3 linked regions of the Yarrowia lipolytica genome follow. The protein of the gene in region 1 interacts with the protein of each later gene in a pairwise test. Links are inferred from orthologs where the notes say so. Each region holds a gene or a part of one and is shown on either strand. Other genes may lie near its edges.

Evidence for each region. The genes of interacting proteins can lie anywhere in the genome.
Region 2: the proteins of YALI1_B11083g (region 1) and YALI1_C28879g interact in binary tests that used the Saccharomyces cerevisiae proteins (3 or more experiments, as listed by UniProt). The link is inferred for Yarrowia lipolytica from reciprocal best matches to the Saccharomyces cerevisiae genes SUP35 and ITT1.
Region 3: the proteins of YALI1_B11083g (region 1) and YALI1_C05423g interact in a two-hybrid assay, tested with the Saccharomyces cerevisiae proteins (2 studies listed by BioGRID). The link is inferred for Yarrowia lipolytica from reciprocal best matches to the Saccharomyces cerevisiae genes SUP35 and LSB1.

Annotation. Positions count from the first base shown.
Region 1 is NC_090771.1:1,106,387-1,111,118, forward strand, and holds YALI1_B11083g (uncharacterized protein), read left to right. Parts: upstream 1-1,991; coding exon 1,992-4,178; downstream 4,179-4,732. Other genes in the region: YALI1_B11111g (uncharacterized protein), read left to right, coding at 4,731-4,732. UniProt on the Saccharomyces cerevisiae protein: GTPase component of the eRF1-eRF3-GTP ternary complex, a ternary complex that mediates translation termination in response to the termination codons UAA, UAG and UGA.
Region 2 is NC_090772.1:2,885,982-2,889,652, forward strand, and holds YALI1_C28879g (uncharacterized protein), read right to left. Parts: upstream 1,926-3,671; coding exon 513-1,925; downstream 1-512. Other genes in the region: YALI1_C28895g (uncharacterized protein), read right to left, coding at 2,358-3,593. UniProt on the Saccharomyces cerevisiae protein: E3 ubiquitin-protein ligase involved in translation quality control. Involved in the rescue of stalled ribosomes by promoting ubiquitination and degradation of proteins on stalled ribosomes.
Region 3 is NC_090772.1:540,959-544,389, reverse strand, and holds YALI1_C05423g (uncharacterized protein), read left to right. Parts: upstream 1-2,001; coding exon 2,002-2,919; downstream 2,920-3,431. Other genes in the region: YALI1_C05494g (uncharacterized protein), read left to right, coding at 1-1,460. UniProt on the Saccharomyces cerevisiae protein: Involved in resistance to EDTA.

The DNA.
Region 1 (4,732 bases):
TACCAAGGGTATTCCTACTCCGGAACCAACAATACAGCAATACCAGTAGAACCAGTAGTACCAGAGGATGGGGAACAAGTAATGGCATTGTATCAGCAAAGGTGGACTCAAGAGAATAGTGAGAATTGATAATTTCACTCTACTCGTTAATATCGACAAGTCTCGGCCTGAGCTGGACGTGAATCATTCCGAACTGGAGGAGTAGAGGTCCAGGACATGGTTTCCGTACAATGAGGGTCTCCCACGGTCCATATTCTGGAGTAATTGCAAGTTTAGGCCAAATCGGATCCATTAAAACCCTGGCAAAAGTGATGGGTGTACTCTGAACTCCATCTTATGCGTTTCAGCCTACTACTGTGGATCAGGCGAGGTTCATGTATCGAAAAGTCGGGATTTAATAGATATATAAAGTCACCGAGTTGATAGATATCTGAAATAAAACCTTTCAAGCTGTTTCTGCCATTACTTGGGTGAAAAAATTGTACCCAACTCCCTTCCACTTCACGTAAGTATTCCCCAACTAAAAACTAACAGGAAGTCCCCGCGTTGTCTGATTCAGATCATATAAAACAGGATAGTAGTTATTGGTTGCACATATTTCTTATGGTCCAGGCTATCCCCTTCACTTTCAAGCCATATTATATAATTTCTTCAGTGATATCTCCACTGATCCTTTCAGAATATATTACTTTACAATTCAACAAAGTTTGAACAAGGTCTAACAAATGCCCAACTAAACAATCACAATGCACAAGATCCAATCCAACTGCACAATTACTACACCCATATGTGCAAATGTGTTACATCTATGATCTAAATTCACTTCTTATTCACGAGTGCTCACTCCCCTATCGTTCACGTGATCCCACTCCTCATTTCTGTAAAACATGGAACGTAGACAATAATATGAAATGTCCATCTTTTTAACCGGAAAAGATATGGGAATTCAGAAACTTCCAATCAATTCCCCGTCAGTCATTTGATCTATCTTTCAACTCCCCAACCCTCCAGCTTTTCTCTGTCATAAATTATAAGTTGCCAAAAATTCACCCCAGTACAGAAATCAGACCACATCTTCCCCAGCTCGCTCAAAATCCAATCTATATTGAAACCGAGACCTTGAATCGATTCTTACTTCGTCATTCACTCACAATACCAGCTCTCATAATCCCCCTTGGGGTATGTAAATGAGTTCCATTACAATACTCAGAGGGATAAACAACATACATGTCTCTATCACCCACCAGAGATACCCAGAGAGTATCCAAACAGTACCATTCGAGTCTCAGGGCCTCATTCTCTCAACTGCTATCTTTTTATTCCATAGAATCTCTCAAATCACTCCAAATCACCCCAAATCCAACCCTCCTCAAAAATGACTACAAAACCACCCTAGCTTCTCCTGTGGATGACCCTTGACAAATCTGGAACAATAACTCGAATCCCTATACTAAAATTACTCATTTATTCAACTTGCCAGTCCCCTATCATTTCTCAAAAGCCCACAAATCGCTGACTCATCGCCATCATCATTCAAAACAAAACATCTTCCCGACTTTTCCTGTAAAAATCCCACAACAAATCGCAAAACAGAACTGAATTTGTCATACAATTCTCGCCCATCTTCACCCTGGTTCCTCACTCAAAACCAACATATATCTCCCTTTGAAAACACACCAAATCAGTGTGTCCAGGTAGCACAGCTACAGCACAGCACAGCACAGCACAGTACACACGGCAGTTACTTACGTAATGCACCCAAAAGGACACCACGAATGTCACACCGTGTCAATTGTCACGTGTCAACGGACCCGACCCAAAAAAACAAACCGCGTCCGCTTCCCCATCGACCCTCCACCTACCTCCATCTTCTCCCCCACACTCCCCAGGGCTAGGGTTAAAATTTTCACCCTGAGTTAAGGTTTGCACTTTGAAAAACCACCCAGCATAATTTTGAGAATCACCACGCAACACTCACCACGACACACACAATGAGTGATCAATTCAACCAGGACTTTGCCAACAAGGCCAACATCAACGAGGGCCAGGGCCAGGGTCAGGGCCAGGGCCAGGGCTACGCTCCTCAGCAGTTTGTGCCCGGTCAGTCGTTTGTGCCCGGCCAGGCGTTTGTTCCCGGCCAGTCTTTTGCTCCCCAGGGCGGCTACGACCAGTACGGCGGCCAGCAGGGCGGCTACCAGGGCGGCTACCAGGGTGGCTACCAGGGCAACAACTACAACCAGGGCTACCAGGGCTACCAGGGCCGAGGCGGCTATTCCGGTCGAGGTCGGGGCGGCTACCGAGGAGGATACCAGGGTGGCTACAACAACTACAACCAGTACGACAATCAGTACGGCAACTACGGCGGCTACGACAACCAGTACGGAGGGGGCTATGACCAGCCTGAGGAGCCCCAGGAGAAGACTCTCACGCTGGAGGAGTACCAGAAGCAGAAACAGGAGGCTCTCAACAAGCTCAAGAAGCCCGCTGCCAAGTCTGGCGGAGCCCTCAAGATTGGAGGCGACAAACCCAAGTCTTCCGGAGGAGCCCTCAAGATTGGAGGAGACAAGCCCAAGACTTCGGGCGGCGCTCTCAAGATTGGAGGAGACAAGCCCGCCGAGAAGAAGACCGGAGGAGTTCTCAAGATTGGCGGAGACAAGGACAAGAAGGAAGAGTCCCCTGCCCCTGCTGCCGAGAAGAAGGAGTCCACTCCTGTTGCCGAGAAGAAGGAGGCTACCCCCGCTCCTGCCTCTAAGGAGTCTACTCCGGCCCCTGAGAAGAAGGAGTCCACTCCCGCTAAGGACGACTCTGCCGCCAACGCTGCCTCTGCTGACGCCCTGATCGCCGCCCAGAACGCCGAGATCGACCAGGAAACCATCAAGGAAATGTTTGGCGAGACCAAGGACCACATGTCCATCATTTTCATGGGCCACGTCGATGTCGGCAAATCCACTCTGGGAGGCCAGATCCTCTACCTCACCGGCACCGTCAACAAGCGAACTATTGAGAAGATGGAGAAGGAGGCTGCCGACGCCGGACGACCCGGCTGGTACCTGTCTTGGGTTATGGACATCAACAAGGAGGAGCGAGCCGAGGGAAAGACCGTCGAGGTGGGCCGGTCGTACTTTGAGACCGACAAGCGACGATACACTCTGCTCGACGCCCCCGGCCACAAGATGTACGTGCCCTCCATGATTGGAGGAGCCGCTCAGGCCGATGCCGGTATTCTCGTCATCTCTGCCCGAAAGGGAGAGTACGAGACCGGCTTCGAGCGAGACGGTCAGACCCGAGAGCACGCCATGCTGGCCAAGACCCAGGGTATCAACAAGCTGGTGATTGCCATTAACAAGATGGACGACTCGACCGTCAACTGGTCCAAGGAGCGATACGACGAGTGTATCAGCAAGCTGAAGCTCTACCTCAAGGGTCTGGGCTACTCGGACAAGACGGAGATCACCTTTATGCCCGTGTCCGGTTTCACCGGCGCTAACGTCAAGGAGCGAGTCTCCAAGGAGGTGTGCCCCTGGTACGACGGCCCCTCTCTGCTGGAGCTGCTTGACTCGTTTGAGCTCGAGCGGAACCTCACCGGCCCCTTCATGCTCCCCATTTCCAACAAGGAGAAGAACCTGGGTACCATTGTGGAGGGTAAGATCGAGGTTGGCACCGTCAAGAAGGGCGACAACCTGGTCGTCATGCCCTCTAAGGTCCCCGTCGAGGTCACCACCCTTTACAAGGAGACCGAGCAGGAGGTTGGCGGCGCGTCTGTTGGAGAGCAGATCCGACTCAAGGTCAAGGGCATTGAAGAGGAGGAGGTTCAGATTGGACAGGTTCTCTGTTCTGCCGCCCAACCCGTTGCTGCCGTCACCGTCTTTGAGGCCCAGATTGCCATCACCGAGCTCAAATCGATTCTGTCGACCGGTTTCTCTTGTGTGATGCACATCCATACCGCTGCTGAGGAGGTCACCTTTACTGCTCTGCTGCACAAGCTGGAGAAGGGTACCAACCGAAAGTCCAAGAAGCCCCCGGCTTTTGCCAAGAAGGGCATGAAGATCATTGCCCGGCTCGAGACCCAGAACCCCGTCTGTATGGACGAGTTTAGCAAGACTCCCCAGCTGGGTCGGTTCACTCTGCGAGACCAGGGTCAGAGTATCGCCATTGGTCGAGTTACCAAGCTGTTGTAAGCAGCTCATCTGCGAGCGTGACGAGCCGCCGCTGCCCGTAGGTTTTTCGTGCCAGCGGTCCAATAAGGAAGAATGTAAAAATTGTGTTAGTAATGAATGTTACTGTTTTAGGAGGTTACTGTTATCAGATGGATCTGTGTAGAGTAGAATAGGCCATGGCTGGAGGCATCCAGGGTCACGTTCAGCAGTTTCAGACAAGTAAGGTGCTGTACTTCTTGATGACCCTTCATGTCCCAGGCCAACATGAATTCGGGTCATAGCGGGAGCTTTTGTACCACAAAACGTTGAATTAATGACACCAATGGAATCAGGAGGCGATTCTGAACACATTGATATGTTATTTTTATCTGGAAAGCGTCTCTCCTTGGTTGTACGTTCCTTCTGTTTCCATTGACAAATGCACCTATAGGTGGGAATTTTGTGTGGTGAGAGGGTGCGATAATGGTATAAAAGGAATCAGGGCAAGATTCTGAACAGATGGGTCAACTGTTTGCTATCTCTTACAATACTATTATTGAACTATTTCGTTAAAACTGTCCATTATACCTAGACAT
Region 2 (3,671 bases), on another chromosome or scaffold:
AATACTAACTAGACTCTCTGGTGCTTGACTATGGCTGATCGGACGGGAAGCCGTATTTTCACCAGGATATGGCCGTAACTAGGACTCCGATACGGGGAATCGAACCCCGGTCTCCACGGTGCTCTGAATGAGAGCGTGATGTGATAGCCCCTACACTATATCGGAATATAAAAAAACTGTAATTTTTTATCCTACTTAGTGACATTAGCTTATGTAACCAACCGACAGCGCCCCGCAGCGCACATCGCAAAGATCCAGAAGTGTATGATTTATTGAACGCCAATAACCCGGCTTACTAGGTATATTGCTGTAATGAATTATTAGAAAGAAAAAAAAGTATTTCTTTAGAATATAACAAAAGAAAACTGAAAGAAGCCAAATAATAAATAAACAAGATGAAAGAAGAAAAAAAAAGCGAGAATTGTGAGCCCAAGTGAATCATCTCCACTGCTGTTTCCAAGATATATTTTTATTTGATTCAAAGTCAATCAATTAATGTACAAAATGCAATGTTACTCGGGCTCGACGTATTCGTAAGCCTGCCAGTTTTCGTCATCCTCCTCAACAATGCCTACCATTGCCAGTTGAGCTCTTCTCTCCAACTCTTCCTCAGTGATACCCTCGAAGAGTCTGCCGTAGCAGTCTCCTCCATCACCATCCTTGTCTCTCCAGTGGGCGTATGGGTCTTCCGAGCTCACTGAAGTGCCGCAAAGATAGCAGAACGCAGCCAAGCAATGTGCACACTTTATCTTGTTGCATCCATCGGCTTTTTCAATAGGCACATTGCATTGTGGACATGCAATTATGTTTGCCTCCTTCATCGCATCCTTGAAAAGTTTCTCGTCCTCCTCCATATGTTCCAATCGTCTGACATGAGTCTCAATGTTTGCCTTTCCCCATGTGAACTCGATATCCTTCTTTTCGTCTTCGTCAGCTTCGTCGATGTAGTGCTTGATGAGCGAATCTGGGGGAACGTGAATCACACAGCCTCTGTAAGTGCCATGCCATGCCTTTCTGCAGTTGACGCAAAAGGCGTACTTGCACCGGGAGCACCGAGCCATGTACTCGCCTGGTTTTCGATACACGAGTGTATCACAGTTAGTTCGAGGACAGGTAACTGAGTTTGGGTCCTTTTCTAGTCTTCTTTTGTGCACCAGTTTCTGGTATCGTTCGTAGCTCTCCTTTCCCACAATGTCCGACAGCTGTTCCGGGCTCAGAGGATCCTTGCACTCCACCTCCACACAGTGTACCATCTCGATATATCCCTGGGTAATGCAAGTGGAATAGTAGTCGGCGAGGCACGCTGTGCATGAGACGTGGGCACACGCGAGTTGTGTGCAAACGGCTCCCTTGCGAGTCTCCTGGCAGATGCTACAGGTGAAAGTCATTGTGGCAAAATGTTCCTTGTCCGCGCAGACGTCATAGTTGAGAACGTTCGACTTCAAGTTGGCGGCAAACTTGAGCGGTTGCGCTTCTCCAAAGACGGTCTCCACCTGCTCCTTGATCAGATCAACGCAAGCAAACAGGGTGGACTCGTCCTTGACCTGTTCCCACTGGTGTATTAGGTCCGTTGTCAGCTTGGCGATCTGTCCGTCAGTCATCCACAGCGACTGGAGATCGAACTGGGGCGGTTTTGTTTCCGGGTAGCCCTCTGGTAGTGCAAAAAACAGGAGCACTGGCGGCAGGTTCCTGATCTCATGTTGCGTGTCTGCATCGCCAAAAACCACCTTCACAGGCTCTTCGAAAGACGCCGTGATCTCCAGAGACCCACTCAGAGTGTCAGTGTCATACTCCAGCTCGGGGTAGATGGCGGCGAGCGTCTCCAGCTCTTCCATGGTGGCGAATGGACGAAATGATAGAGGAGTTGGGAGTGCAGGAAAGACGTGGAATGAGAGTTTGAAATTTAGACAATCGCTCCATATCATGCACCACTTCAATCAGCCGCATGAGAAGATGGAGAGCAAAAGTGCCACGAAACATGGATAGAATGAAGGGAAAAGGATGTACATCTTCTTGAATTGGTCTGATTGCGTCCTTGTTTCCATCTTTTGATTCAGTAAAACAGCTGTATCTATTTCTCTTACTTCTTGAAGTCCTCATGTTTGTTGAAAGTCTAATTAGATTTGTTGGGTTTCCTCAATAAACTTGACCATGACCAACTAATTTGGTAACTGCCGTTATTGAGCACAACAATGACAATGGAAGTCGACGGGCATGCCGTTCATTACGACCAGCTACGTGTGCTGTACTTTGTTCCTGTACAGTATGTTTGTATGTAATGATTGTATTTTATAATGGTTTTGTTACAGACGGCCCAGGAGCTCTCGCAAGCTTTCGAGCACGCCAAATGCACATTTCTATAGGCTGTTTTGTCGATGGTAAGCAGGGGGCCGAGGGGGGAGCTGAGGATGAGCCGGTTTTGAAGACGAAGATGGCTTGAAAGCTCCTGGCACTCCTGGCACTCCTGCGGGTTTTGATGAGGCGGCAGCGGCGGCAGCGGCATGGGCCTGCTTCGAAGGACCGTCTCCCATCAGATCGCTATCGTTAAACGTCCATGCAACCTCCCGTTCACTCCAGGGCATGAACTGCGACGGGTGTGGTGGGGGATCGGAGATTTTTGTGATGAGGTAGGCGGCTGAAGCTTCAGCAACTCCGTAGGTGAGCAGTCCAACGTATGGAATTCGCAGCAGCAGGAAGAAGCCAGCTCCGAATCCGAAAATGACTCCCTCACGAGCAGCAAGCCAGTGTTGTCGGTCGGTGGTGGTAAAGGGGATTCTCTTAAAGTAAGGGATAAGCAGTTCTCGCACCAACGATCGAGAGCCCCAGAAGGCCGACAGGAAGACAAGCAGCCACTTTTTGGGCACCATGAGACCCAGACCAAACACTGCTGCAGCTGCAGGAGTTCCAACCACCTGGTTGAAAGAGTAAAAGGAGGCAGAATTGATGGACAGAGAACCAAGCACAGGCACGTCCTTGATGAGGTACATGGCGAGAGTGAAGGCTGTTCTGGTAGCCATTCTGCTGAGGAAAGAAGAGAAGTCGTTTCCTGAGGACGACTTTCCGGACATGAACGACCACCATGGTCGGCCGCCCTTGCCTGTTCCATAGGCTCTAGCTTGTTCCTTGTATGTCACCAGAGGCATGTAGTACTGGGGAGGGTTCTTGAGTTCAGGGTGTTTCTTGGCGTAGGTCTGGTCTGCGTGTTGCAGAGATCGCAGGAAGATCTCGTCGATTTCGGGACGGAAGTATCGCATTCCTGCAATCACGAACGGTCCCAGGTTGAGCACGTGGTTTTGGATGAACCGCAGAGACCCCAGTGCGTCGTTGATGGTGAACCGGGCGTCTTGACCAGTAAATGCCAGTTTGGAAAGATGCAAGAACCACTTGAGCACGAGAATCGGCGACCATATCAACAGCTGGATTCCCAGCGAGTATCCCAGCATCTTCAGTGCCTTTCTGTAGTGTTCTGTTCGGAAGATATCGGGGTTCTGTAACGATCGGTACGCACCCACAAAAAACAGCTGGAAACCTCGCACAATCGCCAATGGCGAGAAATTGGGCGGTGGACGGGACAGAAAAATTGGCGACGGCATGTTTGTGTGGACCTTTGCGTAGGTGCTGAGCTGTGGTGGTGTGTTGATAATTGGCCTGTAATAATTAGGCTGGTTGTA
Region 3 (3,431 bases), on another chromosome or scaffold:
TCTCATCTGCCACCCCTACTGGTGACGTCTCGTCTGCCACTCCCACCGGCGAAGAGACTGCCTCCACTACTTCGGAGCAGTCTTCTACTGCCACCCCTACCGGTGACGTTTCGTCTGCCACCCCTACCGGTGACGCTTCGTCTTCCATCCCTACTGGTGATGTCTCATCTGCCACTCCTACCGGCGATGTCTCGTCTTCCACTCCTACTGGTGACGCTTCGTCTTCCATCCCTACTGGTGACGTTTCTTCTGCCACTCCTACTGGTGACGTTTCTTCTGCCACCCCTACTGGTGACGTTTCTTCTGTCACTCCTACCGGCGATGTTTCTTCTGCCATCCCCACCGGTGAAGAGACCGTTTCCACTTCCGGTGTTGTTCCCATTTCTTCTGGTCAAGAGTCTGCTTCAACATCTACAGATTCTAACTCTGCTACCGTTTCCTCTTCTGGCCAGGAGTCTGCCACTGGTTCCACGTCCGGTGCTGTTCCTACATTTGGTGAGCAGTCGGGCATCACGTCTGGATCTACCCCTACATTCACTGGTGACAATGGTTCTACTGCCACTGTCCCCATCTCGACAGAAGGCTCTGGAATCAACTCTGGAGAACTGGACTCTGCCACCCTTGAGGTCCCCACTGCTACATCTGCAACTGGTACTGTTTCCGTTGAATCTCAGATCACATCTTCTTCTGGAGGTGGTGGAGGTCTTGCCTCTGAAGACATTCCTGGATCCGCTACTGCTACTGGCACCGCTACTGTTACTGGCCTGGTTCCTGATGTTACTGGCTCGGCAACTGCCACAGGTTTGGCTTCTGAGGATCTTTCCGGCACTATCAGCCCACTTCCTACTACCACCAACTTGTCAGGCGCCTCTCAGCCTCTCACTACCATGTCTACTTCTACACTTGGTGGCGGTGGTGCTATTGATGGTGGTTCGAACGGATCTGGCTCTGGTTCAGGCTCTGAGGGCTCCGGCTCTAGTTCAGGCTCTGAGGGCTCCGGCTCTGGTTCAGGTTCTGAGGGCTCCGGCTCTGGCTCTGGCTCTGGTTCAGGTTCTGAGGGCTCCGGCTCTGGTTCTGGCTCAGGTTCAGGTTCAGGTTCTGAGGGCTCCGGCTCCGGCTCTGGCTCTGGCTCTGGCTCTGAGGGCTCCGGCTCTGGCTCTGGCTCTGGTTCAGGTTCTGAGGGCTCCGGCTCTGGCTCTGGCTCTGGTTCAGGTTCTGAGGGCTCCGGCTCTGGCTCTGGCTCTGGTTCAGGTTCTGAGGGCTCCGGCTCTGGCTCTGGCTCTGAGGGCTCCGGCTCTGGCTCTGGCTCTGAGGGCTCCGGCTCTGGCTCCGGCTCTGAAGGTGAAGCACCTCCCCAGTCGCCTGGTGGTGAGACCCTGCCTCCCCAGGCCAACTCTGCGAAGACTTATGGTGTCTCTGCTGGTATGATGGGCATGGTTATTTTGGTTGTTCTTTTCTAAGCTAGTTAGCTAGCTATTGGTTTCTACCTCTTAAAATTGTCAATTGTTAATGAATTCTTTGTATAAAAAATCTTGTTCCTTTTATTATTATATTTATATGTACATTTATTGTACAAGTATTACTGTACTTGTAGTTGTAGTCTCCAATAAGTACAATGCCTTGCTTGATAGTTTATTGAGCTCGGTCGTAAAGACGAGTAGGGCTATGCAAGATTAAGAAGTGTACTGAACTCTATGTATTTTGAAATTCTGGGTCTCGAGGTTCTAGAAGCCCGGTACGTCAGGGACCCTCGCCTGTCTGGAGGATGGCCAAAAACACGATTTATATATTTGCTGCTCTGTTTGTGTTTCTTGGTTTTATTGCCGGTCACGTGTTATGGAAATTCACGCAGATTTTTATACACCATCAGAGTGGCTGTGCTAAAATTATTAGGCTACAGTGTACATATAATAACCCATCTCTCGGCCACTTGTACTCTTGCACTCCCACCCTTTCCACGCTACACAGCACACGCTAGCGTTTTTTTACATCACTTTTACGATGGCGGCAGTTATCAACCGAAGTGTGACTTCGCTCCACAACGAGCTGGAGTTTCTGTTTGAGTCCGAGGTGATTTCCCAGGCTCTTTATGACGATATTTGCAACAAGATCCCTCGAAAGCTGACACCTGGTCAGAAGCTGGACTTGCCTGGTTCTCAAGTTGTTGGCATTGCCGAGGTGACTGAGCGGGTTGCAGCTGTTCAAATCACCCCTGCTGCCCCCTCCCCTCCCGTTGCTGTTCATCCTGCCTCTGCTGGTTCAGGTGGCAAGGTGGAGGCTCTCTATGACTACGTCGCACAGGACCCCACCGACCTGGCTCTTGTCAAGGGCGACCAGATTGACATCATCGAGAAGCTGAACAACGACTGGTGGAAGGGCCGAGGCCCCAGTGGCAAGGAGGGAATCTTCCCTGCCAACTACGTCAAGGAACTGTCTGATACTCCCTACATGGCTCCTCCTCCCGTGAGCCGATCCCAGAGCACTGTATCGTCTGTGGCTGCGGCAAGCTCCACCACCACTCTTCCCACGGTGTCCTCTTTGGCCGTGAACGAGGAGAAGTCCGAGAAGTCGGCCTACCCTTCTTACAAGCAGCCGGACTACGCCGCTCCCGCCGCCCATTACAACCCTCCTCCTCCCACACAGTACAACCCCCCTCCCCCAGAGCAGTATGGCTACCAGGCCCCACCTCCCCCGGGATACCAGGGAGGGTACCAACCTCCTCCTCCCCAAGGCTACCAGGGCCAGCAGCAGCAGCAATACTACCAGCCCCCTCCTCCGCAGACTGTGGTTGTGGAGCAGGGCCAGCAGCATCAGGGTGGCGGAGGCCATCTCAAGAGCATTGGTTCAAAGTTTGGAAACGCAGCCATCTTTGGTGCTGGAGCTACCCTTGGTGGAGACCTCATCAATTCTATCTTTTAATCACGAAGTAACGTCATAGAGAATATATTTATTGCCTAGTCTGTTGACAGACCATTGCCAGGCTCTTAAAGTGAGCTAATTAACCATCTGGGACTCCATTCTCAATCAGAGGGAGGTTACAGACCTGCATCGATCAGGCATGAGCGAGACGTGCGGAACATGGAGATCTGAACCCTCCCGAGCTTCCTAAGTTTGGCTCGTTCTTGTGGGTCCAATCTTGAGGTAAATCGTGGGCTGTGCGACTACTTGAACTCGTACTGTACTTGTACGAAACGCGTTCGTAGGTGGAGTTGACTGACTGTTGTCATAGGAACATGGTCATGGCGTCTACTTGTACCATTGTTTGTTATTGTGTTGTATGGTCTAGTCTGTTGCTGCCTGCACACTCTTTTGATTTGGCCCCCACGCCGTCACGTCACTGTGCATAGATATACGAAGGAGTGTATTTGAGAGTCCAGAAAATGCGAAAAAGAAAAGCTGATTGATAATTCCTCGGAACTTCGCTTGGAGAA